Daphnia pulex: one gene and its partner. The protein of the gene in region 2 purifies or fractionates together with the protein of the main gene of each other region. This does not show direct contact. Links are inferred from orthologs where the notes say so. Each region holds a gene or a part of one and is shown on either strand. Other genes may lie near its edges. The genes, in order: transcription factor Dp-1-like and retinoblastoma-like protein 1.

Region 1 (11,358 bases), on a different chromosome or scaffold from region 2:
AAATAATTTAAGGTAAGCAACTTGTATCATATTGACAATATTATGCAGAACAAAACAAAAAACACAAGAATAATTACTTTAGAGACTCTTCTGGTTCTCCTAAGCCATAATACAGTTTAGAAAGCTTCATGAAAGCGCCGGTATTATCGGACATCAATTTGGTAGCTGCTTTTAAATCTGAAATAGCCTTTGATGCCTCTCCAATAGCTAGATAACACTCTGAGCGCATCTCTCGCAAACCAATATCCCAAGGGCAAATCTAAAGAAAGAAAATGTTAGCATAGTAGCAAGAAATCATTTGCAAGAAAGTTTATAAAAACATACATCAATAACTTGGGTTAAGAGATCAATGGCATGGTGGTAATCCTTGTCACTGAAAAACATTTGAGCTTGCATGTAACTCTTCTTCAATGATTCAATTGCTATGTAATTTTTGTTGACTTCACTATTTGTTGGTTCCTTTTTAAGCTGTGAAAGATAGACATATAGGAAATATTTTTTAATTAACTTGACCATAATAACATGTATACTTACAACTTTTTCCAACTCAATATGTGCCTCATGCAAACGCCCAAGCTTCATTAGGATATTTCCCTTCTGAGCTCTGGCTTGAATGAAATCTGGTTGGATTTCAAGAACACGATTCAAATCTTCTAATGCAGCTCTTGCTCTTCCCTGGGCAAGATATACAGTAGCTCTTCTGTATAATGTTAAGTAGTTAGAAGGATCTCCTTCTAGAGCTGCATGGAAATGGGTGAGTGCATCTTGGAGTTGGCCCTTAGCCATCATTAATTTACCAAGCTCTAAATGCTTTTCAATTTCCGAGGGATTGGCGTTTCCGTGAACTGTATAATGAAAAATAAATACATAAGACGTTTGAATCACAAGGACAATTTACATGAGTTGAAGAAACCGGCTTGTACCTTCGATGATTCCGATGCTAACGAGACAAATTAAGATTGAATACATTTGTCTTGAATGTGGGCCCCAATCAGCCATTTTTAAAGTTATCATTCTATTTTTTAAACTTAAGAGCTTTAAGAAGCCACAAGGATCACTTCAGACTGATAATAGAATAATCGTCTGTGATGTGGCCCAATCAGAAGACATTACGTGACAAACAAAGCCATCTGTTGTTTAGAATTTCAAGCTCGTGGGTAGATATTGAGTAACAGAGCAGACAACATTACAAAAACGTGACGAAACCTCTTGTCCTCCGAACGAAAAAATGGTAATATTTCAAAGTAAATTTTATTGTGTATAGTGAAACTAAAGTTTTGCTATTAATGTCTACTATGTAATTCAGTCAACAGCGATAGTTGTTGGTCTTGGACTGGCTGCTGTCGGATTTGCTGGTCGCACACTGCTTCGATCTGCTCCCACAATGACGACGAAGTTTAACGAAATACTCAAGCAGTTTCCTATGGATACTGAGGTATTAGATAGAATTAATTGTAAATGTTGATATTTTTCTACTTATGGTAATGTTCTTATTATCATTTTTTCAAATATTTTTTGTAGTCTCTTCTTGGAAGCAAGTACTACAAAGGTGGTTTTGATGCCAAAATGTCCAAAAGAGAAGCATCTTTAATACTTGGTGTATCACCAACAGCCAACAAAATCAGAGTGAAAGAAGCCCATAAAAGAATAATGCTTGCAAATCACCCAGATAGAGGTGGCTCACCATATTTAGCAGCTAAGATAAATGAAGCAAAAGATTTCATGGATAATTTGAAATAAAACATCTTTTGTGCAGGGGAGAACTATAGATTTCATTGTAAATAATCTAACTTTAGTAACATTTGTTCAAATAAAAGAGTCAACAGCTTCAATAATTGTATGTTTTGTATAATCAATTATTATTCATTTAGACAATTTGCAATTTGGAGGATGAATGTAGTTTGTTTGCTGTTCAGGTAAAATTACTATGATTGATTCAGCTAGTATATTTTACAACTTTTTCCAACATACTCATAAAGATGTAGAAAACAAAAATTAAAATATTACATTTCACTAGGAACACATAAAGAGAAACAAAACGGGCCCACGGGGAGATACCAAATGCCCGAGGCTATAAATCGGTACCGTTTGATTTGGCAACATTGTTCCATCTTTTCTTAGCAGTTAACAGACGAAAATACGTTTTTCAACATTATTGTCCTGTCGCTCTTGGATTCTTTCTCCAACTCAAGAGTCTTAAGAATTGTTGAGGAAACACCAATAGTGTTTTCAAATAAGGCTCATTTGTTAATTAACTACAGTCAGTTAAAGTTTATACTTCACGGTGATTAAAATGAAGCCAAATGTAGTTGTTGATGAAATGTTTCCTGAAGGTTAGTAGTCCACCATTCACCATCGTGATTAACATGATGATTACCACAGCCAATATTTTTATGGATTTTTTTTACATACATAGGTGCTGGCAGCTACATGGACCTAGATGAGGTAAGCATTAATCAATTGATTTTAAAAATCTAGTCTAGATGTATAGTAAACTGATTTCCCATTCAAATCATTTGTTAAATATTACAATTCCAAAATATATTCAAACATGTCATCTGAAAATCATTTGATAGCATTACAAAGATCCTAGACAAAGATACAAATTTTTTTGGAAAAACAGCAATTAATTGAACACGATGTTAATAATACCAACTTTTTTCCTTTTATATTCTAATTTAGCTGTTACTTGCCATTTTAAGATATCTAATAAGTTTATATCAATGTTAATTTAGCAATCTGCTGGTCCCTCTGGAATGATTGTTGATTTGACATCAAATGAGAAGGCTGTCCATGGTGATTTTTACAATGGTTTGATAAAATCTCATGTTTACAAAGTATTCAGTAATAAGAAAATTTTTCTTTTCATAGGATTTGTAGACTTGTGTGATGATGATGATCTCTTGTAAGAATGAATAACAACTTAACTGCTACTATTCTTATTCTTTTTTTGTAATGTGTACTCATGAAATGTAAGGTAATACAGTTGTGAAGTTTGCAATAAATACCCATCATAGGGCAAAGTGAAATGGAATAGTTTATAGCCAGCAAAGACTATTGATGCACCCGGACATGCTCGTGTCAACGAGATGGATGAACAAGATATGAACACTAAGAGACGAAAATAACGAACGACATTGTTTTTGTACGACGGTAAACAAAAATGAACGAAGAAAACTGTTATCGACAATGAAACCTCACTTCTACTCGAAAATACATCGACAGGCACTTTTGCAAATATTCATCACCTGAGTTTTCAATGTTTCCAGTTGTCGATGCGGTCTCCTATACCGACAAGAGCTCACTCCGTCATCTTAATAGACACACACACGCGGTTCAGATTCCCACGAAAATCATCGATGGATACTCTCACTTGGCTTAAATTGGCGACATTGAAAAGGAGGTTCTAAGGAAAGGGTAAACACTGAACCGAGAACAAGCGAAGAGAAATGCATCCAATCAGCGAGGACAGCCGCATGTAAAGCGACAGTAGAAATGGACGCAATGAGACAACGCATCAGTAGAACCACACCCTTTAATTGATTTCCACGTCGGAGTTGTCTTCATCGTCATCCACATCGTCATCCTCGGAGTCTGAGAAACCTGTTGAGACCGACGCTGTAGGTGTAACTGCTCGAACACCTTGATTTCCAAAGTGATCTGAGGTTTCCTTAACCACAGGATTGACGTCCTCTGGCCACTGTGGCTCGGCCTGACCGCTAGCCAACTGATCTACATAATGTTCCAACGCTTTTGGAACATAAGACTTGGCCTAAAACGAGAAAAATTTAAAAATTAAGATAAACTTTAAAAATAAAAGAACAAAAATACCTTGGCGAGATTCTCTTCAGTACAAGTGGCCTCGTTAAGCCCAAGGGCCATGCCCATTCGCTTAAGGACTTCAATATCATCATGAATTTCGAAAGTATCATCAAAGGTGAAGAGATACTCCATCTTATCGCTAGATATGGAGCAGTCAATCACTGTTTTCTTGCTAGTATTTACGACCAAAAATGGTAGCTGTATGGTAGAATTACTGGCAGGGCCACCGTGAAGACGCTCATTTTGCTTGTTTCTTTGAACCTAAAGGTAAACAAGACGTGTCAGTAAAATGTTTCTGTTTTACTAGAAAAAACATTAACAACCAAGCTCTTGAAGGCGATCTGCTGAAGGACCAATTCTTGCAATTGTTGCGTCTTTTGCTTAATTCTTTCTAGCCGACGTTGCTTCTCCGCTTCCAGTGCCTGGAATTCTTGCAACGAATTTGTAGGTAAACCAAGCCACTTGATCTCTTTTTTCTCTTTCGATATGATGTTCATGGCCATGAGCACATTCAGTGCATCGTAAACCCGACGCCGAATATTTTTTTGGTCATACTGTCAATAAATTAACATTATTTCACTGATAAAAAGATGAATTTCTAATACGATACTAACTTGGTCAGCAGGTGAAGTGCAACGAGATGGATCAGTGAATTCAGCTACAAGTTCATCAGCAACCTCATTGTATGTTGTAGTACCCTTCTTCTGAACCTTTTCACACACCTTCATCGAGAAATGACGTAATCCTTTGCCTCCTTTGTCTACCTTACGCCGTTTACTATTAAAAATGAGTTTACTCATAAAACTACTCATTTGAAAAATAAAATGAAAAGTTACCTCTCAGAACCATGTTCATGGTCAGGATCTTGCCTTTTTCGTGAACCACTGTGATCAAGAATTGGGGAAATGAAGTTTTTGCCCTGTTGTTGTTGCTGATTTAAGCGTTGAGGAGTGCTCAACACAACAGGCACTACTGGTAACTGTACAGCAGTGTTTTTGTTACTCGGAGTAGATCCATTTCCTGATGATAATGGTATGGCTAGTATCTGTCCAGCTGCCACTTGTCCACGAGGTCCAGGTGCTCTTGTCACTCTGCCAAGTGACTGCAACATCTGAGGTGTGGCAGCCAAAACGGTTCCCTAAACAAATTTTCAGCCAACATTGTTAACATCTTTTACATTTTATTCAAGCACATCCTTGACTTACATTAGATCGCAGAACAGCTCTAACTGCTCCAGAAGCCATGGACACTGGAACACCTTTTCCAGCAGTGGCATGCACCACTTTTATCATTTGTGGCTGACCTGGAATGCAAACAACCATCATTTTATTATCTTGTTGAAAAGAATGAGATAATTTCTTAGTCTAGACTTTGACATACCATTTGCATCTTGGATCCAAATGTTGGTGATGTTTCCAGTTGGGGTTGACTGTGCCATCTCCTTAACCTCTTGTAAATTTATTTATATTATTTAACTGTAAAGAGAAGAGATCAAGGAAGATCCAATGTGCTGACAATGTTTTGTCAAACAAGCATCTTTGGTGGGTGGGACCAAAAGTATGATCAACTGAGCGCCGTTATAATTCGAACTTCCTGTCAAATTACAGATATCATCAAATTTCATATAGAACTATGATAGAATCTAAATAGACTAAAATGGAAATTCCCCGTATTTATTCCTCCAAATGATTTCAGAACACGATGAGCGAAATGGCGCCCAAAACGCCATCACCAGTCGATACCCCACACCGGTAAGTTTTCCCCCTTATTTTAAGATTTTTGCAGACATCTTCACTTAAACTTTCCAAGCTCAATGACAAATAGTATCCTCCTTTATTATCTAATTCACTTTATGAATAAAAAATAAAAATCCCCTCAATCCAAAACAAAAGAGACAATAGGGTTTACCTAAGGTTCTGGGCCAACTTTATACGATCGTCACTAGACACACACTGCTGTAGCATCAGCAGGCAGCTAGGCAAAAATGCACGAGGGGGTGATGATGGCACAGCAGGCCAACGGCTTAGTTTTTATTATATTTTTTTTTTCTTTATTTTTTCGTCCGGGGGGTTTACTGAGTGAGCGTCTTATATGTACGTCATATGAGACTGGGATTCAATTCAATTCTAACTTCTCCATGAGTTCGCTTTCTATCTATCGCAATTTGCAATGAAAAAAAAATCGATACTTTCAACGGGCAGAAATTCGAAATTCAAACAAACTCGTGACCTTGGGTCGTTGGGTGAGAACAAAAATATGAACAAATGATTTTCGATTTTCCTTGCTCGTTTAATTTCTCCTTTTCTCTTTTTCAAATATTCATGTAAAATACTAAGTAGCGCTAAAACATGAAGGAGAAAGAGGAAATTAATTAAGCGCAGGCAAGTGTTCAGCGATTTCGTTATTTTATTTTATTAATTTCTGAAATATATTTTTTTTATTTCGCTCTTTTAAATTGGTCTATTTTTTTAATTTGGCTGTTAATACAGTTATCGTAATAAATGTATCGTAATAACTAAGTGCTAATTTGATTAATTTCATGGGAAAAGCGTTAAATTTTTATTGAAATCGAGCATGAATATGAATGAAATCATAAATCAGAAGGCTAAGTAAAATCAAACGTCGTCTGCTTTTCCGGATACGCGGGAACCATTTCAAACATAAACTAAAATATTATTTTATCTTAAAAACTAGTAAAAAAGTAGTTTGATATTAATATATCGTTTTTTCACAGGTGTAATTCAGTGTTTTATCAAGTTGTTTAGATTCTCATAATTTTTGTTCGGTTTTCTTATTTCAGATCAATTGCTATGGCAATGTGGCAACACCGGTTCTGCCATAGAAGTATTGTCAATTGCAGAAAAAATCGAAAGAAATTTCCTAAATGAATGTTGAAGTGTTTGCGAGCCGGCGTTTAGAATGCACGTGGATATACTACCAGATATTATACTAGGAAATATTTTCTCATATTTGCCGCTGCAGGATTTAAGAAGCAGTTCGTTGGTGTGCAAACGGTGGTACAGGTACAAGTTTTCTTGAAATCAACACCAGTTTGTGACTATTCGCTAGTGATCTACCGTTGCTAACAAAACCAGCGATTGTTTGAAACTTATGTTCTCCTTGCACATTATTATTTGAATCAGTATACTGAATGATGAGGACAATGATGTCTGGAGACTGCACTGCATACGAAAACTGGCAGAAGAAGTCCTGAGCTCAGACCTCCTATCTTCCGCTCCTACCTACAAAACAAAATTAAAAGCATTTCACCATGCTTGGAACCCAGAAGACTGCTCTAGAAACATTTATATCAAACCCAATGGTTTTACCATACACAGAAACCCTGTTGCACAGAGTACAGATGCTGTGAGAGGTAAAATTGGTGAGTACTAAATATTGTAGATGCCTGTTGCAAGTGTACATATTAATCCATTCAACTAATGTTTGTGCAGGATTCAGTCAAGGTAGGCATGCCTGGGAAGTGATGTGGGAAGGTCCTCTTGGAACAGTTGCAGTTGTTGGAATTGCAACTAAAGAAGCAACTCTCCAGGTATAATTGTGTTAAAATTTGAATATTTTATCTAAAAATAATTGTCAAAATCCATGTTCACAGACACATGGATACATAGCTTTACTAGGATCAGATGACCAAAGTTGGGGTTGGAATTTGGTTGATAATCATTTACTTCATAATGGAGATTCCCAAGGCAATTACCCAATGCTGAACAATGCACCTAAATACCAAGTGATTGAGTCTAACCAATGAATGAGTTGAATCAACCTAACCTAAAGTTTTGTTGCAGGTTGGGGAGCGGATACGAGTCATTCTTGACTGTGATGACAATACATTAGCTTTCGAAAGAAACTATGAATTCCTCGGAGTGGCGTTTAGGGGCTTACCAGAGAAGCTCTTATACCCTTCGGTGTCGGCAGTCTATGGGCACACAGAAGTCTCAATGGTCTACCTGGGTCCTCCCTTGGATGGCTAACTGTCGCCTGTCCCCCTCTCCTAAACAGAAAATTTCTTTGTGTGAATCAATTTCTACAGGCAAATGCGTTTTGCCAACCAAGAAAGGATGTTGTTGTAAAAGAATCCCAAAATTCAGTGTACAAAGGTTGCGTTGGGAATACCGCTCTGACTTAAAACATTCCCGTATTTTCCCATTCTTCATTTATTTATTATTTTTTTTTTTTTCATGATTTCCCTGGTGTGTGTCAGATTATTGTAGTGTGTTACAATTCAAATTTCGTGTGGTTGTGTTTTCACGTTCAACCGAAAACCAACAAATGGTTAATCGTCCGGTCTGACTGCTACTTGCGAAATAGATTTGTATAACTTAAAATTTCCCTGTGTATGTTTGTATGACTTGGGACTGGTGATGATGCTAAAGAATAACTGAACCTCTTACTGCCCAAAGTTTGGCGTTTTGAATAAAAAAATCTAATTCGTGTTTAATTACTCGAATAAATGAAAAATGACTTGTCTACACTGCCTTTATTTAATTTTATAAATAAGCATTATTCAAACACTTAAAGGTGTTAACCAATGAGTAAGGAATCAGGTTTTCTAAGTACTCCTACATTTACCATCGTATACGAATGGATTCGATCGTTTAGGTTTTTTCTAGCCTCATTACTACTTCATGTGTGATTTTTTCTCTTCTAACGCTTCTAACTGAGAAATGTACTGATGGGCACTTGGATCCTAGATTTCTAGCAACATATTGGTCAAAAACTGTCTTGAAGGTCAAACAAAAAAGTTTGTTTAACTGTATTTCCATTACGCTCATCAAATCGAACGACGATCGAGTAAAGGCTTTAATGGTTTTTCGCATGTTGAATTAATCAAAGCGCAAAAGCAATATCATTCCAAAAATAGGTCAAAATCAAAGAAAGTTTCGTCCCCTCTTTTATGGTTTATTGTGTACGTTGACCTTCATCAACCTCATAAAGCGAAGTGTAAGTGTCATGTACCACCGGAATTTTCAGTTCTATTCGATTCACAAGCAAAGACAGCTGGTCATTTCCTCCCCATTTTCAATTTCTATTTGTACATCGCCTTAGGGGTTCCAAACCCTAAGGTAGGTGGATTGGATATTCTATTGTGTGACCAACAAAACACGTTTTCCGTCGATTTACTTTCGACCAAAAAAAAAAAAAAATCCTTGTGACGGGAATTCTGTTGCGCTGCCCAATGGCAATCCGCAAGAAAGGACAACATTGAATGCCTCTACCATCTAGCGTCAAAAATGAAGAGCGGTTCAAACAGGAAGAGTTTTCTGAATTAAATAATCACGCACTCGATAATCGGAGGCGTGTATTCATTGCCATAAATGAATGGGCATGCTAAATTATTATATAGTTTCTTTGGGTTGCGCGATAATTTCATAATTTCCAAACTGAACCATATTTATCTGTTGTCGTCACGTCGACTGAGAAGAACGACTACATTGTCGATTGAAATTTTCCAAGCCGTTCGACTATTTTTCTCTTTTTAGGACATTGCAGAAACGGGCAAAGAACTATGCTTCGGTTTGACTCGATTGACGAACACTTTAATGCAGCCGTTGAAATCCGCGCTGACAAGAACGTAGCCGTTGCCGGAAGAGGCTCCTCCTTCCACATTTGAGTTTGGTTTCGCTCCATCGGCTGTCGCCGATCCCGCTAATCGCCGACCCATCAACGCATCTCCTGATAACGAGGAAGCTTTTTCCTCTTCCTTCTCTCTTCGATGTCGCTCCATTTGCTCAATCAGTGAATGCGAATCAGGTGCGAAAACGGCCGATGTCACCACTGCATTGTGCGCTGTCGTAAATAGATGCAGAAAAGTCGATTATTCAATTTGAAAGAGAATTAATTTACAAGAAAATGGTAGTGATTAGGTAATAGTACCTTTGATGGCTTCCCAATAATCGTTGCGATCTCGACGAGCCGAAGAGAATTTGGCGTAATCATGATGTGTCTTCCACATGTAAATGTACTGATTCTCTGAACCGCTAATGATGTACTTGCCATCGTGACTAAAATTCAATTACAACATAGAAAATGATTAAATTCATTTCATTTCGGAAAATAAAAAGAAAAGAAAAGAAACTGAAGCGTAATTTAGGGCTCATTTTGTCCAGTGTGTCTAGGATGTCATAATTTATTAAAAATCTTTACGGACCCCCCCCCCCCCTTCGAATTGACGATTTATGACGTCATACGCACTAGTCAATAGGGATGCATACCAAAGAATGTTATACAATCATAGTCCATAGACGGATAGACCTACGGTGTAATGTAACATTCTAGAGAAAGTAAAATCCGCTGAAAATAATTTATCATTAGCGTGTCGTCCGGCTTAAACCATGGGCTTAGAGAGACCATGGGTATGGAGAGACTCCATAGTCCATACCCCTGGAGAAACGAACTTAGCGGTACGAATTAAAATGAAAGAATTTGGCAACGTTGACACATATTTCAGCGTTCCGTGTCACGACTGTTTGATAAGAAAACTAGAGAAGATAAGCTACAGCGATTGAAAGTGAGATAACTATTAACTGTGGAATAGATGAGTTTTTTTTAACTATAGAAATGTTATGCTAATTTATTCAAGTCTTGGTAATTAATTAAACTTTTGGATCATTCAACAATAGGAGCCATCTGGACCAAGTACTTCCACGCCGAGCGTGGAATCTCCGCCTCAGTATTTGTACCACTACACAAACTACGACAACCTCAGGAAAATTCTCAAGGACGGCAAAGTTATACAGTCCAATGCCAAAACGGCTTATGTTAACGGATCGGGTGTTTATTTGACTTCACTGGCACCGGAGTCTGGTCGAAATCGTATTTGGTGGAACAACAAAGGCGGCCGATCAAATTTTAGCGAGATATTTTTGGAGTTGCATCCGGAGGCCATACGCATTGAATGTTATTTAAAGTTTGATACAGATCGTCTGAGATCAAACGTCAAATTTCTCAAAGACACCGAACAACGAGGTCGGGATGTGTGGAAATTGGAAGAAGACATTCTCCTACAAGGGCCTGATACGTGGTACACATTTGGATTTATTGACGAACGAGGGCGGATTATGGCTAAACTCAATCAGATGCACGGGAAAGATGGATGGAAGCATTCTATCAAAGAATTGGAAATAGGTAAATTCCGACAAATCTCTCAATTTTATTCGCAATACAATCTACTACGTATGTCTTTGAAAGACTCTGCCCAAGAAACGGCGAACGGTTATTATTCCGCAATCGCTAATTCCATTATTCGGATGGAATTGAAAGATGGTACCTATCATGAAGACATTGGAACTGGCTATGCAGAAGGTCTATCATCTATGGCTACCATTCTAAAAATCCAAGCCAAAGAAGTAATGTTCACTTTTTCGTTTAAATGTAACATATTAAGAAGAAAGTAAAGATTTGGGTTTCTTTCGAGTAGAATGCCATTGTAGATGGTTTAAAACGCGCAGCGCAATATTTTGGTTTTGCGGAAGATTTTGGAGGAACACCTCGTACTCCACTGAAGAAATACGAGGGCAC
Region 2 (11,521 bases):
GATTACGTTTTAACGATTGCGTACCTTAGATCCGATATCATGTGCGTACACAACTACGTTAATAGGTTTCGAAATTCTACTGACCAATTTGATGACGTATATTTATTTCCATGTCAAAATAAGGGGAAATCAATTAAATTATTGCTGATGCGTTTGTCTTTTTTTTTGTTTTTTTAAGTTTGCCTTCGGCATTGCCATGCTGATGATTAAGGATCCTTTGATGGGTTTCGGACTGTTGGTAATCGGCGTCTGTCCTGGCGGTATAGCCTCCAATTTTTGGACGCTGCTTTTAGATGGTGATGTTAATCTTAGCATTACCATGACCTTCGTTTCTTCCATCGCTGCCATGGGTCAGTATTAAACCATTCATTTGATAGACACAGCAAAATCGATAAACACTTTTAACGACGAATAAATTTGTAACAAATTATTGTTAATTACATCGCCTTCCATTAGGCTGAATTTCGTAAAATTATGTTTTCTTTTGCAGGGATGATGCCGTTATGGTTGTGGCTTTTGTCTCCATTTTTCCTGCCGCCGGGATCGTCCGTGCAGGTGCCTTTCCTGGACATGGCCGTGTCGCTAATATTGCTAACCGTTCCACTCGGAATTGGACTTTTGATTCGTCGATTTAAGCTTTCTGTTGCCGAATTTCTCACCGTAAAAATCATCAAACCGGTGAGTAGTTAATTTTTTTTGGGGGGGGGGGGGCGAATTAAATTTAATACAGTTTTCATTTTTTTTGTTTTTCTAGTTCTCCTTCTTCTTCATATTTTTCATTTTTGGGGTAAGTCATTCTTTACTTTTAAGGATAATTGATTGTTGCGTTAAAAAAATTCGATTTAATGCATTACTCTTACTGTGACCTGACGCAATGTAAAAGATAACGGCATCAAAATCTAAAAATGCCTGATCAAAGTTCATTTTTGGCTATTGACAGCTGGGTTTCTACAGCATGTCCCATATCTTCATTCTCCTGGACTGGACTTTACTGACCGCCGGTCTGGCGGTCACGGTTGCCGGCTTCGTGTTTGGAGCCTTTTTCGCTTGGATAACGCGACTCGGTCGACCACAAATTATCGCTGTGTCATTAGAGACAGCCATGCAAAATGCCAATATAGCCTTTGTTCTCCTCAAGACGACTCTTCCAACTCCGTACAGCGACATTGCTGCCCTGCCGGCGATTGCTCAAATTTTGATGACAACTTCAATCCTGTTCATCTTTTTCGGCATCATCATGGCATACAGATGCGTTAAGAACCGTGGCTGCAAGAAAAAGGAAGAAAAGGTCGAAGAGGAAGAAGAAACCACAAAGTCCTTGATGCTAAAAGATTACACTGATGGCAGCAATGGAAATGCCAAAAAAGTCGAAACGCCACCTCCACAATACTACGGTGGACAAGTTACTCCCGAGTTTTCATGGGCAAAACGACCAAGTCTCATTGTGCCTAGTTCGCCAACCATCGATCCGAGAATTATCGCTTGATGACACCATATATATAGCCAAAAAATAAATAAATAAATAAATAATGTTTTGTTATAGAAAATGAAGACTTGTCTCGTTGAAATCTTGCCTTGCGTTACCCATCTGCCTTTTTATTTTATTTTTCTTTATTACCCGAATAAAATTTACCCATGACAAGTGAGTAACTGTGTAAAACGACAAAAAACAGCCCACGCGCTTGAACAAAATACACACAAATTTAAGTCTGTTTTCCCTCATTACTATCTTAAATTAGATATCAAATCCAGCTGAGCATTGAAAGTCAGTCATTGGTCAATTAAAGTCGTGTGATCTACAATACCAACGACGCACAGATAGTCAGCGGGCGCAATCAGTAAAAGTTGTTCAAACAGAATTATTCATTGACGCAACGGCAGAAACACTCGCAACATTTTGAAATCAAATTGTCAGACTCGGTGACGATCCGATTGCAAATACTTTCCTAATCGAAACATTTTAATGATTATGGTTCACCTGTTTAATATTCCCCTTCCAAGCGCTTGCTTGGAAATGTTTTGTTTTCTCATCTGTACACTATTATCGTTGATATTTTAACACACTCATCTGCACTACAAACAAATAATTGCCCTTAACCAGTAGAGGTCCTGTAAATGAATAATAAGATTACATACAGATGTGAAATATTGAAAGCCATATGTTTGTAATTATGCTCCAAACAAAGTTACTACACATTCTTTTACTCAAAAGTCTCATGGGAAAAATCTCAAAACTGAAATAGTGATTGTGAAACTAGAAAAAAAAAACGTTGCAATTTCCCCAAGATGGTTGATGCGGCTACTTCAACGTTCGTACTCATCACCGATATCTCACTTCCATATGATTCAAGTCAAGCAACACAAACCATTCCATTAACATTCAACACCGACCCATAGCCAACATGACAATACAAATTCCACAATCAATTAAACAAAGAGAAAAAAAAATCAGAAAAAAAAATCAGAAAAAAACCTATTTTGTGATTCTACTAATAAGGTTGAGAATAACAAAAAATTGGGGAAAAATTAAAAGAAGAATGGTCAAGACCAAATAGTTTGGGAGGTTGGTTACCTCTCTTATTTTGTTGAGGGAGGATGAACCAGAAAAAGGAAAGTAGTGTTAATCTGTTCAGATGCATGAGTTGAGATAAAGAAAAGTGAAAACGAAGGGGAAAAGGAACGCAGGGGGGAATCAAAGCCAGATGACGAGGGAGAAGGGTCAGAAAAATCAAGCGAAATAGGTTGCAGCTAAGTGTCAATGACATGTCCTTCAATGAAAAGAGATCTTGCGCGCCGCACCGGCGTTTTCGACTGTCATGGCGAATTTGGGCGGAGGTGGAGCCATAGCAGCGTCGGCTGCGTCTCGTGGACCAATCTCGTAGGAGAGCAGGCGTTTCGTCGGACGCTCTTCGCGTAAAAAGGCATTGATGGCCTGAAGATCTTTCGACGGGCTACGATTAAAGCTATAACGCATAGGCAGCGGCGAATGAGAGATGACATTGCCTTTAAGCGGACTAATAAAGACCGTATGCTTTGCAGACACTTTTCGACGCGGAGAAACAGGAACTGGGCGCTGTAAAGGCAAAGGCGACAAGGGCAATGACTCCTATATAGGGAATAAAACAAAAATTTAGTCACTTGATATTTAGCAATAAAGAATGATTAAAATGCACTACCAGACGGTTCCTGTTTGAGAATTTAAGAGCAAAGGCCTGAAGTCGACGAACGTAGACCGTGTTGTAGAATAGAATCAAATCTCCTCGATCTTCGTACTCGAAGCTGGATGAGGTGCCAGCTAAACCTGTCGGGGTAGGTGGACAGGACGAAGGCTGAGGGAAAGGCAATGTCGACGAAGAACGAACTGGTGGAAGTGCCTTCTCTCCATTGGTTTCAGCTTTCTTTTCGTCACCGTTAACTTTAACAGTAGACCCAGTAGCTGCTTCATCGTCTTCTTCGCTGGGAGAAGGACTTGGAGTGGTCGAAGGATGATTACCTCCGGTTACTGATGACGCCGAACCTGAGGTAGACGAAGCAGATCCACGGCGTGCTTTGGTGCATAGCAAAACACTGCGATATACGTGACTCGAAGCATGGGGTTGTGTTCGATAGCAGCGCATAATATCGGTAAAGTTCTTGTCTCTACCAGTTACCTAAACAAGTAAAATAATTAAAACCCAAGTCTTAAAATCTAATTTAATCTCCCTTTAGAGAATAGCACCAGAATTCAACTAACCTTACAAATTACGTAGACTGCACACATCAAAATTTGATCAAGGTGACGATCTTGCATTAAATCGCTATGCTTCATCACCGAAAACTCGAAACATGTCCAGATCTTCTTACGCAAGTCTTCTTCATACAACTCGAGACGATTGCACAAGTCTTGTAGCCGAACGGATGCCAAATGATAAAACTGCAACAAAAAAGATTAAAATAGTTTGTTGAATTATCTCGCAATATTAACAGCCATTAGAAGTCTACAAACCTTTCTAAAAAATAGACTCAGGGATCCCGTTCTCTTAGGTTTATTGTCAGCCGTTGTTACCACACTGGGACTGGGCAGAAGTTCCATTTTCTGATCATTTAATTCCAGTTTGGAAGAAGCCTTTATTGCATTGCCAACAGAAGCAGGAGTAGCCGCTGTATTAGAGGGACTTGGCGGAACTGTTTCAGGCCCGGGAAACAATTTCCTCCTTGACGATTGGGCTGGCGTACGTTCATTTACTGACGCCACCGATGACACGGGTGATTGCAGAAGAGCTAGTAACAAGCAACATTCAATTTCAAGATCAAAGTTTGATAATATATTGTACTTACAGGCAGCAAGACTAGATTCCGCTCTCTTATTGGTGACGTAAGTCGATGGCGAATAAGGTATTGGCTGCTGCGGAGTGTTTCTGACTGGATCTGATGACTGGACGACAGCCGGAGTCTGCGGAGCAGAAGGGGTTGGTGGCAGAAGTTGGCTTGGTAGCGAAACTTCTTCACAAGAAGGAATGGGTTGATCGCAGCTCTTTAAGTATTCCCACAAGGGACTTTGGTAACGCCATGCCATAGATTCGAGAATTTGCTCTTCCATGTGATTTAGGTGCTTTACTACGTCGCGAGATAAATCTTCAGCCCGAATGAGTACTTCAATTACCTATAACCGACCAAGATTTCTTTTGAATGAGCATGATAATGACGGCAATAATGTTAAGTACCTTATAAAAGTAGAAAGGTTGAATAGGAAAGACTTCCAAGATCCATGGGAATGTGCGCTGGGAGTTGTAAGAGAACAGAACAATCTCTAGGCAACAAGTGATCAAAAGCTGATGAAGCATATCTTGTTGTAGAATTCCTGACAAAAAAAAAAGAGTAATACAATGTGAAACATGAAATGAAAATAAAATTCAGATTTAGTACCTGATAGATCTGTGCCTGCCTTGAGACGTCTGCGTTCGTCGATGATGATTTTTTCCAAAACCTTGTAGTACAGGCTTTCTCCTAACTGCAGACGTTTGCGAGCCATATCCATACTGAAACCATTAGTGCGCCCTTCATCGGCCTGATTGACATAGTGAGCGCAGAATTTCTCGCCCATTTCCTTAACCCTGGCTTGAATACTCTCCCCTGGATTGTTAGAACACTCACTGAAAATACGTCTGAGCTCCTCGCTAGGTCCCGTTTGACGACCGGAGACCAGAGCCTGCAGCCGGCTGACACTTTGAGTGGCTGTCGATACGGGCGTTACCGATCCAGGTTCTTTGGCTTTGAGGAAATTTCGACCGGTCAAAGGCGTGGCCAGCGCCAGGTGATGTGAACCATCGAATTGTGATTGCAAATTGCGGCGGGCTGGGTAGACCATCAGCTTTTGTTCTTCGAAAGAAGCTATACTGTTGAAAGTGGCTTTCACCGGGGTTCCTATCTCTGTTAGAGCATCAGGACTGGAGAAAATACGCTCGTCGAAATCGCCGACACGATGCACGTAATCCTCATAGTCATTGTTGACCACTTTCTTGTTTAAGTCAAAGACAGATGTGTCAAGAATTCCGCATAGAGTCCTTTTGTCACCCTTCAGTACCTCTTTTTCGATGAGGCTTTTCACGTAAGGTCTGAGAACATGCGTTTTGATTCGCTTGACGTCAACAACGGTTTTTTCGTCCTGGCTGCTGTTTCTTGAGTAAAGACACTCAACGATGCAGCCAGGTTCAGTAGGGGCTTTGTAATCACGACTGTGGAAGTCGCTAGGCAGACCAGGAAATTGAGGGTTGAAGAGTTCTCGGCGATTGGCAACAAGAGAATTTCCGTAGATGTAATCAAGACAAGCTAGTAGCAAATGAAAGCAGCTGACTAGCTCTTCGTGGATCTGTGAGAAATTAGTCTTAATGCGTACGAAGAAAGCCCAGCAAAAGTCGTAAACATCTTTTGCAGAGCAAGGAAGTTTGCGTGACTTCCGAGAACGTGGCTGTCTAGGAGGGTCGTTAAGCGGATCTTGGAAGATTTCTTTGAACATCTCATCATACTTCTTGAAAATCACAGAGCAGACTTCAAAGTTACGTTCCAAGCTAACAAACTTGCGACGTAGTTCTTCAGACAGGTTTGCCATGTCTGCCCATTTCCTCGATTTGTCAAAGAAATCTAGCATGCTGATGTTGCATTTTCGTCTGAGTTGAGTAAGACTAACACAGTTTCCCTCTACTGTTCCAACTTGTCCCACAGTTGGAACAGTGCTGTTTCGGCAAGCAACATACAAGGCGCAACATAGCCAATGGATTCGATCACCCTAACAAAAGAAAAAGAAAACAGATTAGACCATGGGGAAACTAGGAACAAATCTGCCGTCAACAGCATTGTAATTACTGCTAAGCTTGTAAATGGTGTAATTTGTCTGACACAACCCACCAGACAATGACAATAACTGATAACAGACCAGTAACAAGTTAATCTCTTAACTCTGCATTGCAGATTTACCTCAAGAGTGTAGTTGGTGGAAAGAGTTTCATAGTTTCGCCAGGCTTCATCGGCTGTGTTTTTGTCAATGTTGAGATCGGCACAAAGGCCGCGAAACCTCTCCTCAGTGTTTTCTTGGTCGGCATCTTCAGACAGACCCATTTCGAGTAGTCAATAAGCCAGTAACTATTAAATCAGTAGAGTAGCTATGCTTATTAATAACGGAAACCAGCTACATCGGACGCAAAACCGGAGATCACAAGTAACACAAACTGCAGCCCACTGTATCAGACGTAGAAAAAACCCACACAAAGCTTACACTCGGCGATTCGTGGCGGGAATTCCCAGTTTTTCTCCAGACTGGCCCTTGCGCCCTCTTGCTGAACAGAGCCTCTAGCGGTGAATAAGATCTGGGGTGGGGACCACAACCAATATTTGGCGCGAAATGAAATCAGCTGTATGGAGACATACATAAAAAGGCCAGACAGTTTTTAATTAGCCATATAAATCACATAGATACGAACTGAACGATTACGAAGATGCAAGGAATTAAAATTAAAATTAATTCATGTTCTGATTTTAATAATGGATACGGTTGGAAATTTTCTGTCTATTGAAAATCTTAGTAATGTAGCATCCGCTAGATGCCTTCACCGAACACGTTTTGTGTACAATATTCCCAGGCCTTGGCTATTTTAATGAATAATAATAATTTTAATTTGGTTTAATTGTTTGTCTGTCTGCTCTTTCTGACTGTCACTGCTGTCTAGGTTCTAGCCTCTAGCACTGTCTAGCTTCTTTTTTTGACTAATATTGATGACTTGATGGTTAGGTAAAATAGATGAGCGCGTTTGAATGGATTAAGAACGATTTAAGAATTTTATTGTTTGATTATTGTAACATTATTGGGTTATTCAAAGCTGAACCTTTCTGTGATCATATTCTTACTTTAATTTTGTGCAGGCAATGGAGAATTACTTGTCAATGCATGAAAGTGAACTAGGTTTCGAGTGTTTTTCAAATTTCACTCCTGCTGAAGTTTTTGTTCAAGGTCTTGCAGGGTTCACTAACCAACATGACATTGATCACATAATTCGGGCACAGAAACAAATGTAATTTTGGAGAAGTTCAAGTAAACTCCATACTATTCACACTATACTTAAATTTATCATTTTCTTACTTTGACTTTGTATAGGCTTCAACGGTTTGAAAAGACAAATGAAATGCTAGTCAACTGTAATACTCTGTCCCAAGTTCACCTTCAAAAGGCTAATGTAGAATTCAAGAAGCATGCACAGCTTTTGAATGAAGTAAAAAAGGACTTGGAGAATATCTTCAAGAGAATCAAAATCATGAAAGCCAAAGCAGCATCTCAATACCCACATCAATTTGAAGGCTAGTTCATACTGCATACATACATTTTTTAATTATTTTTTTTTAAGCTTATCCAAAATAATTGTTTTGATAAACAGATGCTGTAAGTAAAATTCAAACACCCATAGCAGAGGAGGATGAAAAAACAAAGGATGTATAATCTACACTACTTGAAAATGGCTTGCACTCATGATTTTGTGTTTAAATGTTAGAAATATAATTGAAGACTTCAATCAGTCATTATTTAAAAAATATAACATCGTCAGTTTTGATAGTTTGTGCATATATTTACAGCCGGAAAAGGTGCTGTTGAAAATCATAGTATTGCGCATCGGAGCCTATATACGTGTAGGCTACTTTCCTAAGATAAAAATGAAACACTAAGGCTAGGGATTATTTTTGTCGAATTTTATGTATTCTAGTCTTAACAGAGGTTTCGTAAATGTTATACTCTTTAATGTACCAATGATGCGGCTCTCTGTTTCGAATGATATTTTTGTAGCTCTCAAACAAATTTGAATGTTATTTTCTGAAATTAGGCCTATGTATGTTATGGAACCCAAAACGGCAAACGATTTTAATGTCAATGGAATTATTTGTAATTAGTAGAATAATAAGAATAAATATAGATCGGCAGGAGATAGAAAAATAAACATTTTTAATGTCATAAAGTTCCATAAAAAAAGCTAGGCCATATTATACTGTTATTTTATTAGCAAAAATGTTGTGAGAAGAATTATTACAACTACGAAACTACGAAATATAAAAGGATATGCTAAATTTTTTAAAACAATGGTTTCAGATATCATCAGTATAAGCGCGTGTCTGAAAGGAAGGGTAATAACCAATAATTCCAAGCTTTATCACTGGGTGAGTTGCGGCCTTGCGGGAAGGGCGGTCGTGAGTCTGCCGCTAGAGTCTGACGAGAAGACGAATTCGCAGGCAGGCAGCAACGCTGTTTAGCTGTCAAAAATAAATTGCAAGTATTCAATTGTTGAAAACACGTTTACACTTAATTAACAATTCCAGTTGACCTGTTTCGTGGTTTCGTGCTTTTTCTTTTTCAGTTTTTTATTCAACCTCCTCATCCTCTAAATGGCCGATTTTTTAAAGTCAGCTGCTAACTATTTTACAGCAAGTAACAATGGCGCTTCTGAGAATCCTCTCATTGGAGCTATGGTCAATGTCAATTCGGTGCAGCTTCGGATAAAACGTCAAATTGGAGAAGGTGATTTCGTTGTTACACGTTTCATATGAATTAACTATTTACAACTTATGGCCAATCTTAGGTGGATATGCTTTTGTTTTTATTGCCCAAGATGTACAGAGCAATCAAGATTACGCTTTGAAAGTAATATAGAAACAAGACCATAGAATTAAATTTAACATGTACTATTATAATATGTATCTGATTATTCAATTTAATAGAGACTCATTGCAGCTGATACCGATGCTGTCAAAAGCATTATACAGGAAGTAGCATTTTTGGTAATTTGATATTAGATTGTTTCAAATAACATGCATTCAAAGTCCTTAGTTTTATTACATCATTTTTTCAGAAAAAACTAGCTGGTCATCCTCATGTGATCAATTTTATTTCTGCCTGCTGTAATGATAGAGGAGGAGGTTCAAAAGAATATTTAGTGGTCACTGAACTTTGTTCAGGTATCAGTACAGTTTCTTTTACCAATAAAAAATATATGTATGTATATTTTGTATTGGTTATATTTACAGGAGGAGCCTTGTTTGATGCATTGAGAGTACGAAACTCTCCATTAACACCAGAAGAAGTTAGTTCAGTATTTTGGCAAACATGTAAAGCTGTTCAAGCCCTTCACACCCTGGAACAACCTATAATCCATAGAGATCTTAAAATTGAAAATTTGCTCCTCACTGCTGATGGTGTTATCAAATTGTGTGACTTTGGGAGTGCTACAACCCAGCAGTAAGTTTTGTTCACCATTTACTGTTTTCTGGTCATTTTTATCTTCCTTCCTTAGTACTGTTTCTTCATCCTGAATTACCATTGATTAGTTATGCTATTAGCTTTTTTTTCTTGTTCTAATAATAGAATATATTTTATAGACATTTTCCTGGCCCTGATTGGACGGCATCTCAACGGGGTTTGCTTGAAGAAGAGATGGCTAAACATACTACACCAGTATACCGTGCTCCTGAGATGATTGATACTTGGAGCAATTATCCTATCACGACCGCGGCAGACATATGGGCTTTAGGATGTGTACTTTATGTTCTATGCTATCAGGTTAAGCACACTATTTTCCTGGTGCAGCGATAGTTTAAGATAAATATTTTATCATTAGACGCACCCTTTTGAAGATGGAGCCAAATTACGAATCATTAATGGCAACTTTTCGTTGCCTAGCAATGACGGTCGATACGACATCTTCCATGACATTATCCGTGGAATGCTAAAAGTATTTTATAATGATTTGCAAGTATTTTAAAAGAAATATAATATATTCTGTTCCCCCCTCAGGTTGATCCACGTGCACGGTTAACTATAAGTGAGGTACTTGATCGTCTAGCAGCCATTGGAGAAACGCGAGGATACCAAATGAAATGTGGACTTAAGGTGAATTTGCCCAGTCAATCAGCCATGCCACCGCCTTCTGCCCGCCCAAGTGCATCTGTCGTTACCCAGTCATCACCTCAGCCACCTCGTCGACCTCCACCACCAAATCCAATAGCTAATCAGCTACACCATATCGCAACTCACCCTGCTCCATCTATGCATTCAACGACATCTTCTCAACCTACGATGGGATTATTATCATCCTTGAAAGGAGGAGCGGGGAGCCTTTTTAAAAACTTGAAGGTAGAATTTTCATCTTTTTTTAAATATTTAAGTATGAAAATCTACATACTTTTTCTAGGATACATCGACTAAAGTCATGCAAACAGTGCAGCAAAGCATGGCACGGTCAGAGCTTGATCTTAGCTACGTTACATCGCGATTGATTGTTACCTCATTTCCAGCTGAAGGAATTGAGTCAGCCTATCGTCACCACATTGACGATGTGCGAAATGCTCTAGACACTCGCCATGGATCTCACTATGCAGTCTACAATGTTTCAGGACGTTCGTATGCATCCACCAAGTTCAACAACTTGATTTGTTGTGGTTGGCCCCAGCGACAAGCTCCTTCATTGAGAACTTTGTACATATTCAGTATTTATCCTGTTGTAGACAACTTCTGAAGAATTTTTTTTTTGCAATTTTCAGATATGCTTTGTGTAAGAGCATGTATAATTACCTTGACCGCGACACTAAAAATGTCTGTGTTCTTCACTGCATGGATGGAAAGGCATCATCGGCAGTGGTTGTAGCAGCACTCTTTCTTTACACTCAGTTATTTCGTTCTATCGAAGAGGCCCTACAAATGTTTGCCGTTAAACGGTATCCTCCCGGTCTTAACGCTTCACAGTATCGATATCTTAATTACTATATGAGTCTGCTGGTTGAACCTCATCCTATACGGCCGCATCACAAGCCTGTCACTCTAGCGACTTTGACTTTAAGCCCAGTCCCAATTTTTACCAAAAATCGGGATGGATGTCGCCCATATGTTGAGATCTTCCAAGGTGATCAGCGACTTCTCTCAACACTGACTGAGTATGAACGCATGCGTGTTTATCACGTTTCAGAAAATAAGGTATATATTTATGGCCTGTTTCTTCCTCATACACACACT

The links.
Region 1: the proteins of retinoblastoma-like protein 1 (region 2) and transcription factor Dp-1-like purify together in Drosophila melanogaster (affinity purification with western blotting; 4 studies listed by BioGRID, with this or other methods). This does not show direct contact. The link is inferred for Daphnia pulex from reciprocal best matches to the Drosophila melanogaster genes Rbf and Dp.

Annotation. Positions count from the first base shown.
Region 1 is NC_060023.1:5,713,519-5,724,876, reverse strand, and holds transcription factor Dp-1-like, read right to left. Parts: upstream 5,963-11,358; 5' UTR 5,731-5,962; intron 5,671-5,730; exon of another isoform or gene 5,416-5,670; 5' UTR 5,261-5,415; coding exon 5,203-5,260; intron 5,126-5,202; coding exon 5,028-5,125; intron 4,961-5,027; coding exon 4,659-4,960; intron 4,600-4,658; coding exon 4,437-4,599; intron 4,377-4,436; coding exon 4,146-4,376; intron 4,084-4,145; coding exon 3,832-4,083; intron 3,773-3,831; coding exon 3,536-3,772; 3' UTR 2,943-3,535; downstream 1-2,942. Other genes in the region: dnaJ homolog subfamily C member 3-like, read right to left, coding at 78-259, 325-468, 535-845, 924-1,014; mitochondrial import inner membrane translocase subunit TIM14-like, read left to right, coding at 1,229-1,231, 1,307-1,435, 1,522-1,740; F-box/SPRY domain-containing protein 1-like, read left to right, coding at 6,742-6,845, 6,966-7,204, 7,275-7,372, 7,436-7,567, 7,626-7,811; WD repeat-containing protein 44-like, read right to left, coding at 9,317-9,627, 9,715-9,842. UniProt on the Drosophila melanogaster protein: Component of the DREAM complex, a multiprotein complex that can both act as a transcription activator or repressor depending on the context. In follicle cells, the complex plays a central role in the site-specific DNA replication at the chorion loci.
Region 2 is NC_060018.1:8,627,834-8,639,354, forward strand, and holds retinoblastoma-like protein 1, read right to left. Parts: upstream 6,833-11,521; 5' UTR 6,595-6,832; coding exon 6,454-6,594; intron 6,266-6,453; coding exon 4,906-6,265; intron 4,841-4,905; coding exon 4,704-4,840; intron 4,643-4,703; coding exon 4,318-4,642; intron 4,261-4,317; coding exon 3,986-4,260; intron 3,914-3,985; coding exon 3,734-3,913; intron 3,651-3,733; coding exon 3,177-3,650; intron 3,107-3,176; coding exon 2,771-3,106; 3' UTR 2,142-2,770; downstream 1-2,141. Other genes in the region: sodium/bile acid cotransporter-like, read left to right, coding at 179-350, 491-678, 755-787, 941-1,486; kxDL motif-containing protein CG10681-like, read left to right, coding at 7,399-7,544, 7,628-7,827, 7,905-7,966.